4 linked regions of the Arabidopsis thaliana genome follow. The protein of the gene in region 4 binds, or shares a complex with, the protein of the main gene of each other region. Each region holds a gene or a part of one and is shown on either strand. Other genes may lie near its edges.

Evidence for each region.
Region 1: rps4 (region 4) and EMB3137 share a complex: the UniProt entries of both Arabidopsis thaliana proteins name them as parts of the 30S ribosomal subunit.
Region 2: rps4 (region 4) and AT3G13120 share a complex: the UniProt entries of both Arabidopsis thaliana proteins name them as parts of the 30S ribosomal subunit.
Region 3: rps4 (region 4) and PSRP3/2 share a complex: the UniProt entries of both Arabidopsis thaliana proteins name them as parts of the 30S ribosomal subunit.

Annotation. Positions count from the first base shown.
Region 1 is NC_003076.8:4,616,718-4,620,659, reverse strand, and holds EMB3137 (Ribosomal protein S13/S18 family), read left to right. Parts: upstream 1-1,678; 5' UTR 1,679-1,887; coding exon 1,888-2,004; intron 2,005-2,201; coding exon 2,202-2,426; coding exon of another isoform or gene 2,427-2,471; exon of another isoform or gene 2,472-2,653; coding exon 2,654-2,821; 3' UTR 2,822-3,237; downstream 3,238-3,942. Other genes in the region: AT5G14330 (uncharacterized protein), read left to right, coding at 109-221, 440-713; CXE16 (carboxyesterase 16), read right to left, coding at 3,238-3,778. UniProt on the Arabidopsis thaliana protein: Located at the top of the head of the 30S subunit, it contacts several helices of the 16S rRNA.
Region 2 is NC_003074.8:4,218,810-4,223,527, forward strand, and holds AT3G13120 (Ribosomal protein S10p/S20e family protein), read right to left. Parts: upstream 2,839-4,718; 5' UTR 2,718-2,838; coding exon 2,493-2,717; intron 2,341-2,492; coding exon 2,302-2,340; intron 1,813-2,301; coding exon 1,501-1,812; 3' UTR 1,480-1,500; exon of another isoform or gene 1,464-1,479; intron 1,292-1,463; 3' UTR 501-1,291; downstream 1-500. Other genes in the region: AT3G13130 (uncharacterized protein), read left to right, coding at 4,199-4,718.
Region 3 is NC_003076.8:5,140,980-5,145,119, reverse strand, and holds PSRP3/2 (Ribosomal protein PSRP-3/Ycf65), read right to left. Parts: upstream 2,131-4,140; 5' UTR 2,021-2,130; coding exon 1,754-2,020; intron 1,500-1,753; coding exon 1,215-1,499; 3' UTR 1,028-1,214; coding exon of another isoform or gene 578-1,027; 3' UTR 514-577; downstream 1-513. Other genes in the region: AT5G15780 (Pollen Ole e 1 allergen and extensin family protein), read left to right, coding at 1-222; GNA1 (glucose-6-phosphate acetyltransferase 1), read left to right, coding at 578-1,027; AT5G15750 (Alpha-L RNA-binding motif/Ribosomal protein S4 family protein), read right to left, coding at 2,419-2,650, 2,755-2,829, 3,309-3,416, 3,538-3,671. UniProt on the Arabidopsis thaliana protein: Component of the chloroplast ribosome (chloro-ribosome), a dedicated translation machinery responsible for the synthesis of chloroplast genome-encoded proteins, including proteins of the transcription and translation machinery and components of the photosynthetic apparatus.
Region 4 is NC_000932.1:44,720-47,440, forward strand, and holds rps4 (ribosomal protein S4), read right to left. Parts: upstream 1,110-2,721; coding exon 504-1,109; downstream 1-503. UniProt on the Arabidopsis thaliana protein: One of the primary rRNA binding proteins, it binds directly to 16S rRNA where it nucleates assembly of the body of the 30S subunit. With S5 and S12 plays an important role in translational accuracy.

The sequences.
Region 1 (3,942 bases), on a different chromosome or scaffold from region 4:
ACTATCACCAACGCTAACATTTCTATTCTTTTTGAACTTCATCAAGAGCCAAAGCCCCTGATCGGCCTCACAAAAGACACCATTTTCTTTGGTCTCCGGCAACAGAACATGGATTGGAATCAATCCCTAATCAAACCGGGTCAATTTGGCTTAGTCAAGAAACGTCCCTCTTATGTAACAGCTGTTCCAGAACGGCAGAACATTCACGAACATATAAATGGGTGTCCACTAACAAATTCAAACACATAACCATGATCACTCTGTCCTTTTTTCCATTTTTTTAAATATTCAAGTAAACAACATGTAAATTATAACGAATTTAGGTCGTCTCAACATCATGACTCATTCACATGCGTTGACTTTTAACCCACTAAACATTTTTTATAGGACCCCTCTCTCTCTCTATAAATTCGACCCCCTTTGTTGATAGATCATACAGAGAACAACAAAGAAAGAAACCAAATAAGAAGAAAAAGGAGAAGAACATTCAAATGGCACCAAGAAGTTCTTTGATCCGCTTCGCCTTCATCTGCATTGTCTTGGCCGTGATGGTCATGACTGCTGAGTCGCACAACGGAACCCACCACCATGGTCCGGCTATGGCTCCAATGCCACCCATGGCTAAGGCTCCGTCTCCAAGTGCCGCCACTTTCTCCGCCTACCCTCAGCTCATCGCCACCGCATTGGTCGCTGCTATGTCTTTCGTCTTCTGATGAGATGTGTTGCCATTCATCTTCAGAATATGTTTTACTCTCTATGAGATTTTATTTTAATTTTCACATGTATTCCTTCTTTTTTTGTTAATTCTTCAAAGATTGTGATGTTGTGTTCCTATCATAATAAAACATTTATCTCTTGATGTTTTTTTTATTATCTTAATCATATTTTCCTCTTTTTCGAACCAAATCTTCTAATCAAGGCATTATAATGGCCCGTTTGAGAAAAGGTGGACTTTCTTTTTAAAATCAACTAATTCATCTTAAGGTTATAGAATAGATAAATATCCGAAGTAAATATATAAAATAAATTGGGTCAGCCTAAACAAAATAATGAAATGCAGGCCTTACGTGACAGTAATGGGTACGCCTCAACAAATAATGGTGTATTCACTATTCAGACGTTGGTGTCAAAATCAATGAGTGATATCCTTATTAGAAGAACGACAAGCTTTAAACTAGTTTCATGTGTAAAGTACGAAACAATAAACATCATGAAAACACTCGAAATATTGTAGTAAACTTGCCAACAAAACCATGAGTACAAGTGTACAACTCCAATGAATCAGATATATATGCAAGATGGAAAAAATCCCCAAACACCTTAAAATACAACAACATGTGACAATAACGAAGTGAACGACCATCTCGATAAATAGTTAACAAGACTCATTCTCATCCGTTGACTTTTCATCTATACACTTACCATTTTTTTTATACAATCTTTTTCTATCATGACTCTATCCTCAATAGCTACGTGCCCACATGGAGCCAAGGCTCATGCCTTTCGTCTTCTGATCAAATGTGTGTCATTGATCACACCATTCATCTTAGTTGTTAAGAAAATATCTGTAAATCATTTTTTTTTTCATTTTATAGTTGTATCACTTTATTATAGTCCACTCGGTTTTTGCATTTTTGTTATAGTCCACTAGTTGGGCCGTGTTATACAATAGCGAGCCTATCTCAACAAAAAACAAAGCCCAACAAGTATTTATTTTGCCAGTTTTGTAAGCAATTAATTGAATAGAGTAAGTAGAGACGGAGCAAAAACAAGAGAAGCGTTTGGATTCGACGTTTGCCTTATCCGTTCAGCTCATCTTCTTCTTCTTCTTCGTCACCTCTGAATTAGTTTCCCAGAATCCGAAATTCCTAGGAAGAGAACATAACAATGGCGCAGATGGTTGCGATGCCCGTAGCGCACTCGCTCTCACTCATTTGCAATTGGGCAAAATCCAATCCTCTCTCTCGCAACACTCTTGCCCTCCCAGCTTCAAACACTCCCAATGTAATCATTTCTCTTGGACTCTCTCTTGCGTATGATGTTGTAATTTATCGAGCTTGACTTCATGTTTTTTTATGTGTTACTTCATTCTTGTTCGTCAATTTTTGGGTTAGGGGTGGTTATAGAACACTCCATCAATTTTTGGGGGAATTTGTCTCTGTGTTTTTAAAGTTTTTTTTTTTTTTTGTAATGAAATGCAGAAGCAGAGTCTAAGCATCAGATGTGCTCGTGTTGGTGGAGTGGAGATTCCGGCTAATAAGAGAATTGAGTACTCTCTTCAGTACATTCATGGGATTGGTCGAACTAGGGCTCGTCAGATTCTTGTTGATCTTCAGATGGAGAACAAGATTACTAAAGACATGGCTGAGGAAGAACTCATCATTCTTCGTGATGAAGTCTCCAAGTACATGATTGAGGGTGATCTGGTAATACACTTTCCCTTACATTTACACACTTTAGGACATGAGTAATGTGCATCATAGTTTCAGTTTCTGTCAGTCCATTCTCGAGCAGTTTCTTGAAGATTGGAGAAGAACTTAGGCTGCTATCTATTTGGTGTTTTCATTGCTTTAGTTTGGGTTTCCTCTTGTTTTGATTTGGTTCTTAGGCCTTTGTGAATGAATTATTGATTTGTGTTGTGGATGTTGTGCAGAGGAGGTTCAATGCTCTTGCAATCAAGAGGTTGAAGGAGATCCAGTGTTACCGTGGGGTAAGGCACATCCAAGGGCTGCCATGTCGGGGACAGAGAACCAAGAACAACTGCAGGACTCTTAAAGGCAAGAAAATTGCTATTGCAGGGAAGAAGAAAGTTTCCAAGTAATCATCTTCATGATCTCCTTCTTCTTCTGTAATACTCTTTTTAGTTTGTCTAGTCATCTCTGTTTAAATGTGATTTGTAATTCCCAAACCTTTGTTCGAACTGAGCCCTTTCCAGTTTATCTTCGGCTTTTTAGCTATTATTATTCCGTATCTTCATCATTCATTATAAAGTTACAAAAGAAGTTGAAGATTTCAGCATTCAAGAATGATGACAAACCAAGAACAAACTTGAAAATTTGGTCGAACCAAAAATGGTTTATTCAGAATACGTACATATGAATACATAAGTAACCAAAAAATAAAATTTTATAGCTTTTGCCAAAAGACTCGATCTTGGATTGTCTCTAATCCTACCCAGAAAATCTTGCTATCACACAAAAAAAAGGAAGAAAATGAATAATAACAGGGTAAAAATTTTCAGTAAGAGAACTCATGGCCGCGGAGTGAAATGTATTTCTTGACCCAAATGGCAATATCTTCGGCGCAGGCCTGTGCCTGAGGAGTCTTGAGAAGCATATCAAGTGTAGCAAACTCATGAACTGCGTCTTTGTATTCTAAAACTGGAGAATCTACGTTTACCTTTCTAAGCTCTTCTGAATAAGCAATGGCTCGGTCTCTCATCCAGTCATGCTCAGCTACTACTGTAAGTGTTGGAGGCATTAGCTTCAGAGGTGGTCCACTGCGGTTATGGGCAAGTGGGTTTGCTGCCGGGTGGTCAAAGTCGAACTCTTTCTCTGGTAAGAAGAGTTTCCAGGCTAGAACAGAGACAGGCTTATCGTAGAAGTAAGAGTTTGCCAGCTTTATTTCGGACTGTGTTGGGTTGTTTCCAATGAAAAAGGGGTACATTAGAACCTGTGCAACAACTTTCACCGGTTCTAGAAGTTTCCCAGCTTCCACTGCTTTCCGAGCTACATAGTCTGCTATGTTCCCACCACAGCTCACCCCGAGAAGAACACATCTGTTTTAACATCATATGAAGCAACAGGTTGAGACACAGAAGTTGATGTGAGATTGCAATCAATGGAAGATAAGCTATCTTAGTTCATCTAACTAGTTGTCCAAAGAATCCTGACTTTGTACCAAGTTACTCCTAGATCAACATGAAACTATTCTTAAGATCTT
Region 2 (4,718 bases), on a different chromosome or scaffold from region 4:
AAATAGTGACTCATAAGACATAGTATACTAGTTCATATCAGTGTTATTATCACCTTACATATTTGATCCAATATGAGTGTTTTGGTATATCAATATGAACCAGAGTTTAACCATTTGGTTGAACGCAAAATAGTTTTGAATATGTTTATGCAAATTGCAATAAACCCAAAATGGTAGTAAAAGAAAATACAACCCATAATGGTACTACTTGAAAGTTTATCATAAAACCGATCTCGTAAAATATAAGATTATGGAAGCAGAAATTATGTATGATTTCAGTAATGCTGTGAAAAAAAAAAGCAATTTATTCGAGTGTTTTTGAGAACAAACTATAATCAAAATAAATAATAATGGACGGTCCATGTTGGTATATCGTGGGAATATGCCTTAACTTTAACGACTATTATAAACCGCCACATCATTGTCTCATCTACTTAAACCAAATTCAATTTTGGCGACTATTCGTTTTCTTTCTTCTTTGGTCAAGACATTATCTTACAATGAACCACTTCTTACTATACCAAAAACCATTTCATATGATTAAAATAATGATATAGTTGTGTGTATGATTGAACATGGAAAAGAATATTCTTCAACTTTATAATATTGGGGGGTTGACAATTTCTGCATCATCCAAAATTCCAAATTAGATAAGAAAAAGCGCCATCGACTTATCAGACATAAATTCGAAACCATTACTGTTTTTTCCCTTGGATCGTTTCGTAAGCTTGGAAAGGAAAGACTGGTAAAACAACACTTGCAGGTTTTAATTGGCTGCTAAGAAAAGAGACGAACTGAGTCTAGAGGATAATTGATAAATGAAATGTGTTGTGACAAAAAATTATAATTTCCCTATTGAGTTTGTGGATAAACGAACTTATACGTTTATTATAATAATGAAGTCGCTTTCAAGATTCCAACCTCCTGGTTTTAAAATAACTCAAGTTGTGCATCTTCTTATTCCTACTATAATACTACTATAATACTTATATTCAAAAAAAAGATTCCACTTTGAATACAACAAAAATAAAAAAACTTATCATAATGGACACAGGCAAACTGCATAACAATTAGTAAAACAAAAACAAATTCCTTTGAACTTGCTTAATTAAGGATATGTTCATCAACTAAGAACCAAGCATCGCTAAAGATAGATTCCAAGGACCAGATAATACAACTTACATTTTCGTTACAAAGGTTCTCAAAAAAGATGATACAAGGCTTACCAGTTCTAAGCAATGTAGTTGATCTGAAACAGTCTGTTCATTCAATGCAAAAGTGCCCATCACATCTGAGGAAGAAAAAACACTTTGGTTAAGAACAAGCATCAAGATCTTGATGGTCAACAGAGAAAGATTGTAATTTGATGAAGTTTTGTTTTTGAGGATAAATATTGGAGCCTATGTGCAGTTTCAGTAGCTAAGACACATCAATATTCAAAAACCATTAAGAAGAGAGATCACTTTTTTTGTTTGTTACCATTGTAGTTACGCTTCTTCTTCAGAGCTTCACTTCCACATCGACACCAGCAGGAAGATCAAGTTGCATCAAAGAATCGATAGTTTGAGCAGTCGGGTAGAGAATATCAATCATGCGCTGGTGTGTCCGGATTTCAAAATGGAACCTAGCATCCTTGTGAACGTGAGGAGACTTGAGAACACAGTAGATACGCTTCTTGGTTGGCAATGGAACAGGACCCATCGTCTTTGCATTGGTGTTTCTCGCAGCATCAAGTATCTGCTTGCATGAGTCCTCAATAAGAGGCACCCAGTATGATCTAAGCTTGATCCTAATCTTTTGCTTTGGCGCCATCTGATAACACAAAAATAAATCAAATTAAACCAAACACAATGAAACTCCACAAGACCCCTTAAAACAAAACTCTATTGTGGCAAATCTTATGAAGATACCATCTAAAGACGATCAAGATTTCTATACAATTACTTCTCCTTTCCTGTATATACAAGATGATATCTACTTGAAGGCATTTCACACAAATGAGACTCTTTATCGCTCTGAAAAAACGTAGTAAACCAAAGAAGTCTATTGATCTGACAAAGATAGACATTGAAGACATCAAATTTGAAAATTTGCGTATCAATTTCTAGCAGTGACCTCTAACACAGCAATGGGCATTGGTGTTAGAACAGATATGATACTTTTTAGCGCTGTGAAAACGTAGTAAAGCAAAAAAGTCTACTGTTTTGACGAAGATGGACACAGAATTTAGAACACACCAATGCACAAGTACTCGTAAAATCTGTATTCTAGTAAGTGAGCTGTAACAGTAACGGAATATACCTTATCCGCGTCTACACTGATGGATGAAGAGCTCGGAACCTGAATCACACAGACACAAAGACTATTATTAACAGAATTAACATCAAAGTGCTAAATGATTCTGCAAAACAATGTCTTTCCCCCCCCCCCCCCAAATTTCGCATTAGCTCTGCAAACAATCGAATCCGAGACTGACAGAGGAAAGAGTGTACCTCAGAGGCGGGTTCATCGAGAATTTCTGGAGTTGGATCTAGGGTATCGGGAACAGCGAAGACCTTCGTAAGCGAGACGGATGGTTTCGTAAGGACGCAGGAACTAAGGCCGCCATGGGTAGAAGATGAAGGCAGCAGAGAGACTTTGAGTCTGGTAGAAGAAGGCGAAGAGCTTGGAATGCCGAAAGATGGCAATAGAAACGACGATACAGTAGAAACCGCCATTGAATTTTCCCAAAACCACGAATCGATTTCTCTTATTCTTCTTCCTCTTAACGTTCGAAGGATGAGGTTTCTTCTTCAGCAGCTTCTTCTTGAGGGTTATCCATTTTATCCAAAACCTTTTTCTCTCTTTTTTAAATGATGAGATATTATTTATTCTAAGCCCATTAATTCATTAAAAGGCCTACGCTTATTATAAATGAATACCCATTAGGCCCAAATTGTATAGTTTCTGTTAGGGACCAAAAGTACCCATTAGGCCCATATTTTATAGTTCTTTTGGGGACCAAAAATATTCTAACCTAGTAAAATATGATTCATTTGTCTTTCGGTATTTTCTTTCTTGTGGATTGTGATCTGTCTTTAGAAGATTCTTTTGTATCTCATAAATATCTTTTGGAAAATTCAACACACAAACATTCGTGAAGTAGATGGAAAATTTAAGAAAAGTGGAAGACAAAATGAACTACTTGACAAACAAAACCCCATGAAAATATGCAATGAATGTGGAAAAAAATGGACAATATAAATATTCGATGAAATAATACAAACTCATAAAATAATATTAATTTGAATACAAAAGACAATAATATCAAGGAAGGATTCCGTAGTTTTGATTTTTGACTTTTAAATGCATTGTTCTTAATTTTATCTGTAATTGTGTGATCCATAATCTGTAAATATATACCTTCAAATGTGTGATCCATAATCTCACACGGAAATATAAGGTGTTAGCGTAGTTCAAGTATAATTTTTTTTTAATAAAAGCAAAATACATGTAGAAGAAGCCTAACAATTAACATAATGATGTCGCCAAATCCATGCAATTTAAAGAAGGAAAATGACTTAAACCAATCAAAGACATAAAAGACAATGACATCTTCTAAATATTATTGTCCACAAGCCCTCACACTATTCAAAGACCAATCATCCCTTACTATTCCGTTTGTATTTGTCTCAATCATGAGTATTTTTTTTTATATATATCATCAAGCTATACATGACTTAAAAGTCATATTCCTTTACCATTAACATACCATAAAAGCTAAGTCATCATGTATAGCTTGATGATATAAAAAGAAAAAAAATCCGAATTCCATCAGAGGTCATAAAAGATTCGGAACTTTTGGAACACTAACCAGAGGTCGTTTCGCAATGTAACCAATAATAGGACATAAGAAAACATGGATTAGTTGACAAACAAACAATAGAAGAAACACAGAGACTTTTTTTTATCCACATAACTGGGAAATCACACTTCACACGTGGCATGCAGCCATGCAGCTTCAGAACAAGGGGTGGTTTGGTAAAATCATCCACAGATGCCCATTGCCTTTGGCTTAAATTCTATAAATACCAAAGCCGTTGAGTGTAGTGTAACGCTTTGCACAATTACACTTTAACCTGTTTAATTCCTTCTTCTTCTTCTTCTTATTCTAGTCCTCACCATTCACTCACAAAACCAAAGAAAAGAAACCAGAGAGATGGATCAAATAAAACCGGAGTTTCTGAAGAAATTGACCAAGTTTATAGCAGTTTCGATGTGGATTTTATCTCTTTTAACCAGCCACGACTTCTATTTATATAGGTTCATGATCCAACTCGTAACACACGCAGTAGATAAAAACTACATGTTCCTCCTCTGCAATGGTCTCGTAGTGGTTGTTGCTAAGTGTTCTGGTTTGGTCGCTTCGTCCAAACCAATAGAGAAAATTTGGAGTAATACCGATAAAACCTTTGATTATGGAGATTTCGAGAGTTACACTACGATACTGGAGCTAGAGTATAAATCTGATCATGGAATAGGAACAGAGTCCTTTCTTGCAGAGGAAGTTACAGTGGAGGAAGATACAAAACATCAAGAAACCGAGGACAACGAAGAAGAAGATGACGACGACAACACATTAGCAGATAATGATGGAGAGGAAGAGTGTGGTCTTCGTGGCGGATCTATAAACGAGGAAGAAGAAGGGAACGTAGGAGTGATGACATCGACGGAGGAGG
Region 3 (4,140 bases), on a different chromosome or scaffold from region 4:
ACAATTCCGACTCTTCCACCTCTTCCGGTTCTTCCACCTGTCCCTATCGTGAATCCGCCTTCACTACCGCCACCACCACCTTCTTTCCCTGTTCCGCTCCCTCCGGTCCCTGGACTCCCTGGCATCCCTCCGGTCCCTCTTATCCCTGGAATCCCTCCGGCCCCTCTCATCCCGGGAATCCCTCCTCTTTCACCTTCCTTTTCTAGTCACCATCAACCCTAAATTAGCAATCCTTTCCTTACATTTCCAATTATGTAATCTATATGTATCATCCGCTTTAAATTGTTACTTTTTTCCTCTGCATTTTCACTTGTTGGCTTGTTGTCATTTCAATAAATATTGTTTACTATGGAGTTTTTATCTTGCTGCTTTTGTTACATCAAAAGTCAATTTAAAAAACAAATGGCCCATTTTGACTTCATTAAGAGATTCGGAAACTTTTTGTAACTATCTAAAAGAATAAGTACCTTTTCGTAATTATCACATTTGTTTTTCTATGGGTGATTATATTCAGTTCCAGTGAGTGACTGGATCTTATAAAAAAAAACTCAAATTCAAAATTATCCGATCTGATTCTATGGCTGAGACATTCAAGATCCGAAAACTGGAGATCTCCGATAAGAGAAAAGGATTCATCGAGCTTCTAGGTCAACTAACCGTCACCGGATCAGTAACAGACGAAGAATTCGATCGGCGATTCGAAGAAATCAGATCGTATGGTGACGACCACGTGATCTGCGTGATCGAAGAAGAAACTTCGGGAAAAATCGCTGCTACGGGTAGTGTGATGATAGAGAAGAAGTTTCTGAGGAATTGCGGTAAAGCTGGGCACATTGAAGACGTTGTTGTGGATTCAAGGTTTCGCGGGAAACAGCTGGGGAAGAAAGTTGTTGAGTTTCTTATGGATCATTGCAAATCAATGGGTTGCTATAAGGTGATTCTAGATTGTAGTGTGGAGAACAAAGTGTTCTATGAGAAATGTGGGATGAGTAATAAATCGATTCAAATGTCTAAGTACTTCGATTAAACGTTCATCATGATGATGATGATGATCTTTTGTTTTCTTGTTTTGAATTCGCCATTTTAATGATAGAAGTTTTTTCGAGTTTCGATGATTACACAGAGGACTAATGATAGACTAAACAACACAAAAGCTTTAGACTTTGAAAAGTTAATGATACCTATGATAAACAGATATATCTGGTGAATCCAAATCAAGACAAATCTCCACCGCTTGATTGCCAAAGATTGATGATGTCTGTAGCTTGGTTAAGGAGGAAGACACGATGAAGCTCAGAGATCCAAGGCTTGCTCTCTAACAAAGTTTTGAGCTCTTCCCAAGCATCTTTCCTAGGCCAGAAGTAGTATGGACTAAGTGGGATTGTTCCAAATCCTGGAATCATATGGTCTAATGCAACTCCTATGTCCTTTTGCATCCATACAAACTTCAGTACCACCTTTGGTTTCTCTAGCGGCTTCACTAACACACGCATCTTCTTCTGCAATATAAGATGACGATAACAAGGGAAGAATCATACATCTCTACTTCCTTTCACAAAAGTTTTCACAATGAAGCAACATAAGGGAGGTTTAACACTAGCACACACTGCCTCTTCTACCACAATTAAATAGATGGAGACAATACATTTGGTTTACCACATTTTCGTTCAAATGACAAAAAAAGGCTGCAACTTTGTCTAACAAGCTTATAACCCCAATTTGTTCCAAGAGAAGTTTTTTGACGATGACTGACCTTTCCAAGTGGCGGAGATTCAGATTCTGGTAGTTCATGAGAGAAGGTAAGATTGGAGGGGGGATATGCGAATATTCCGGGATTGATACAGGAGTGTCTCGCCGGAATTTGACCCTGATTCCAAGTAGAGCACGAAAGCGATGGTCGAGAAGAGGGTTTGAGCTTCGTCGATAGAGAGATATGAGCTATGGGTTTCGAAGAGAGCTTCTGAGAAGGTGAAGCTGTTCTGAACCCAAAAGAAGCACTCTGATTTGCTTGAACCGCCATTTCAGCTGCGTTTGAAGCTTCTAAGCGAGCAATTTTATTTTGAGAGACCGGGGAAAGCAAAAACACAGGTTTTGCGATTTTCTGGTCGGGTCGGGTCGGATCGAATCAAACGGGTTTTGTAATTTGAAGTGTCAAATAATAATTAGATTTAATATTTTATGTTCATCCATTTCTGTGGCTCCAACTTATACAATTTGACGATAATATGAGTTAGATTCAATATTTTCATGACATTTGTTTTCAAGTTTCTTCTTGCAAATAGATCGAAAGTAAGATTAAAGACAAGGGAATAGTAGCACATTTGCATATTCAAAAATCCAAACAAACCCTGCAATAGTAGTAGCAGTGAACCTTTTTTGGCTTTTACAAAACATCAGTCTTTTTTAACTTCCTCAAAGCTAAGCAAGCATGTCATAATCATCCAATGTGTCATTGTACTCAAGAACCTTTCGTTTAATCTTGGATGAATCAACCCAAGTGATGAAATCTTCCATGTTCCGAGTTACTAAGAAAGCTGGATCAGTAATTGTTTCTGGTCCTACACGAACGTGTCCTTGCTCTATGTATGTCACAGCTTCTTTGTGGTGCTCTGCAAACTTCAGGTGAACCAGCACAGTAGATAGCCTACGCCTGCAAATAAAAAAAAAGAACCGATATGAGGCAAACGAAATGAGAACATTTGGCTATCAAGGGTTTAAGTAACTGCCTATATAGGCTCTTGCATATACTCTTACCTACAGAAGGATGAAACTGATAACCGCTCAGTTAGAGTCAAGCTTTTCCTAGTCGGTATAACACCCATGTTATATCTGCCGTTTCAAGCGTACATGTAAGAAACACAAGTCAGTCAGCCATTAAGAGAACAAGTTTTCTCATTGCAGAGTGGAACTACGCAATCAACAAGTTTCAGTAGGATGGCTCTTTTTCCCTATACAATAAGCCTATATTATATAGTAACTTAGCTCTATGTAGAAGCTATTCAAGAAACAGATTCTGAAAGAAACCCATTAGATCACACATTTTACCAGGATGAATTCAACCTCTAATGGATTTCAAACCAACGGTCCTAAAATCTATATAGAAGCATAAGGACCCCCAATTTTAATTATCTCTAAAAGTGGTTAACAAGAAAAACAACAGGAGGTCTCTAAGATAAGATCGGTGTAAAAAACTGCAGAAAATGATCAAGTCTCATGTTCTACGACCTAAATCTAGAGAAAACAAAGAACCATTGCTTGTAATAAGCTCTATACTTGAACAAACTGGTATATATATTTAAAAAACTCACAGCTTCTCCAAAAGCATATCAGTCATCTGAATACGAAAAGGATCTGCTGGATCCATTTGTTTCATTATATTCGTCAGTTTCTGCACCATCCTACACAATCCTGAATACCTGCCCAAAAGAAAAAACATTCTCAAGAATCAGAAAAAGACCATTGTTCATCACAAAACACTCGAACCAGAAGAAGAAGAATAAGTAGAACAGAGCTTTAAGAGCAAATAAAGGTACCAACTTTTTGTAATCATCACGAGAGCCCATGTGGTATCGATACGTAATCTCGTTTTCCCGATGGTTACCTTCTCTTTTCCATTCTAAGAAATTTACTTTCTTTATAAGCTTCTTCTCGTGATACTTGAGCTTTCTCATCTCGGACGGTACTGATGATATGCAAATTATACGAAATTAGGGTTTATTTGTCCAATAATTCAGATTTGAAATCCTGAATAATCATAAACCCTTGAACATTCTAATGGGAACAACATAGGATTTATCAATCTCTGTACAATTAGTCTATGAGTAAAATTGAAGTAGTTTACCTGAGAGAGATTAATCGGCGCGGGATAGAGTAAGGATGAAGAAATAATCGGCGATGAGGTTCTTGGGTTTGAGCTGAAAGAAAATGCTGGAGAGGCTTAAACCCTAATTGGCAGAGGAGTAGTAATTCAGAAACCCTAATCGAAGGAGAGGAAGTCAGATAAATCCGACGGTCCCTATCCTCTGTTTGATTGTAACTTGTAAGGCCTTAGCATAACTAAATCTTGTTGAGTTGAGCCTTTTAAACTTCTCATTATGGGCCTGAGAAGCCCATGTAGATTTTACCTTAATTATGGGACTA
Region 4 (2,721 bases):
TATCTACTTCCAAATTTTCCGGTCAAAAAGGGTATCTATTAACCATAATCTAAAAAACGATGAATAACTCGCTATTCACCCAGATACTCAGTCATAATCTTGATGTCGGAGAGATGGCCGAGTGGTTGAAGGCGTAACATTGGAACTGTTATGTAGACTTTTGTTTACCGAGGGTTCGAATCCCTCTCTTTCCGTACTTTCAACAAATTCACCAATCTTACGTGATTGACCACAATGTATCAAATCCAATAAAAAAGAATCGATATAAGATCTACCTTGTTTTGATTTTGAAATAGATTCTCTATTCCTAATTTCTTTCATATGGAAAATGCTGGGAAGAGCAAACAAGGGATCCCAATCTCCCTACCAATCTATGATACATGAATAGGAAAAATATTCTTTGACAAAATCCCTTACCTTGTGCCTTTTTATTTTTAATGGAAAAGGGGAGTTGTCCGAACTCTTGTTTTTAGTAATTTTTTTTTTTACTTAAGTTAGGTTTATTAAGTCTGTCGAGAGTAATATTCTACGACAAGCAATTCATTTATTTTCAAACCGACGCATTTCCTATCTATTATTTGATTGACTAACCCTTCATATTGGAATGTGTGAAGAGTCAGATGGTTTGGCAATTCCTCAGGGGCAGATGAATCAAGAAGATTTTGAACCAAAGTTCTAGAGTTTTGTTCATCCTTCACTGTAATAATATCTCGGGGTTTGCAGCGATAACTTGGTATATCAACTATACGACCATTAACTAAAATATGTCCATGATTAACTAATTGGCGCGCTTGAGGAATAGTCAAAGCCATACCCAATCGAAAAAGGATGTTATCCAAACGCATTTCAAGTAATTGTAGTAAAACTTGACCTGTTGACCCCTTGGCTTTTCCGGCTATACGCACATATTTAAGTAATTGGTGTTCTGTAAGACCATAATGAAAACGCAATTTTTGTTTTTCTTCTAAACGAATACGATATTGAGATTTTTTTACGGAGCGTGATTGGTTTCTAAGATCGCTTCCTGCCTTAGGCCTTTTACTAGTTAGTCCCGGTAAAGCCCCCAGACGGCGTATTTTTTTAAAACGAGGCCCTCGGTAACGTGACATAAAGACTCCTTTTTTGATTGAAATTGTACAAAACTAAATAAAATTAAAACTGAACTAAATGATAATGATAAATGACGTGAAATACACTCCACTATTGGAATACAAAGAGTAAGAAGATATATTCTCTCAATATACAGATTTTTTTTATTGTATATACAATATATATAAATCAACTAAATCACAAAAATTTTCCTTTATTTTCTTGATTAATTTTGCAAAGATCAAACTCTTTTACCCAATATATATTCCTAATATGGAAGTTTATATGACATAATATAAATGGAGTGGTAACTCTTGGAAAAAGGTCAAAGAAGTCTTTTCAATCTTCTTTGATTTTGAAAGTACATTAAAAATCATGTAAAAAAAAACGAAAAAATATGGAAAAGCCGGCTATCGGAATCGAACCGATGACCATCGCATTACAAATGCGATGCTCTAACCTCTGAGCTAAGCGGGCTCAAATAAAATAGCGCATGCATACAAATTCACTAAACTACTAGATCGTATCAATTAACTATTCTATTAATATTTTTCCTTATCTAGTTAGAATTAATGATATTCTATATATTCTAGAACAGAATATAGCTCACATAAATAGTGACTATCATTCATCATTAAATAAATAAAACATAACCTTAATTCTATATATATATCTATATAGTCATAGAATAGTATAGAATTATTAGAATTTCAAATTTACGAAGTAGACTTATAATTTTTTTCCATTGCACATTGTAGAATTCTAAGTTTCAATAATAATAATAATAAATTTCTTTTCATGAAAGTAAAAAAAAAAAAAAGAATCGACCGTTCGACTATTTCTGAAAATTTAAGCCAAAGATGAAAAAAAAAAGAACATATATATGTTATGTAATATATAACCATATTGAATTGCAAATACAAAAATGATAGAATCTTTGTTGATTAGACTAAATCAATATGGATGGAGCTCAAAAAAATAAAAGAAGATAACAAAGACATAAAATAAGTATCTATAATGTAATGAATCCCGAGGTTTCGGCATAAGAAAAAAAAGGAAAGACATCATAATGAGATCCTAAAAAAGGGGATATGGCGGAATTGGTAGACGCTACGGACTTAATTGGATTGAGCCTTGGTATGGAAACCTACTAAGTGATAACTTTCAAATTCAGAGAAACCCTGGAATTAACAATGGGCAATCCTGAGCCAAATCCTGGTTTACGCGAACAAACCGGAGTTTACAAAGCGCGAAAAAAGGGATAGGTGCAGAGACTCAATGGAAGCTGTTCTAACAAATGGAGTTCACTACCTTGTGTTCATAAAGGAATCCTTCGATCGAAACTTCAAATCAAAAAGGATGAAGGATAAAAACCTATATTGTATAAATTTAGGTAACACAAAACGATCTCAAAAATGACGACCTGAATCTCGATTTCTATTTTTTTATAAACAAAATCAAAATGTTGTGAATCAATTCGAAGTTTAAGAAATAATATTTCTTGATTAAAATAAAATTATTCACTTCATAGTCTGATAGATCCTTGATGGAACTTAATTAATCGGACGAGAATAAAGATAGAGTCCCATTTTACATGTCAATACTGACAACAATGAAATTTATAGTAAGATG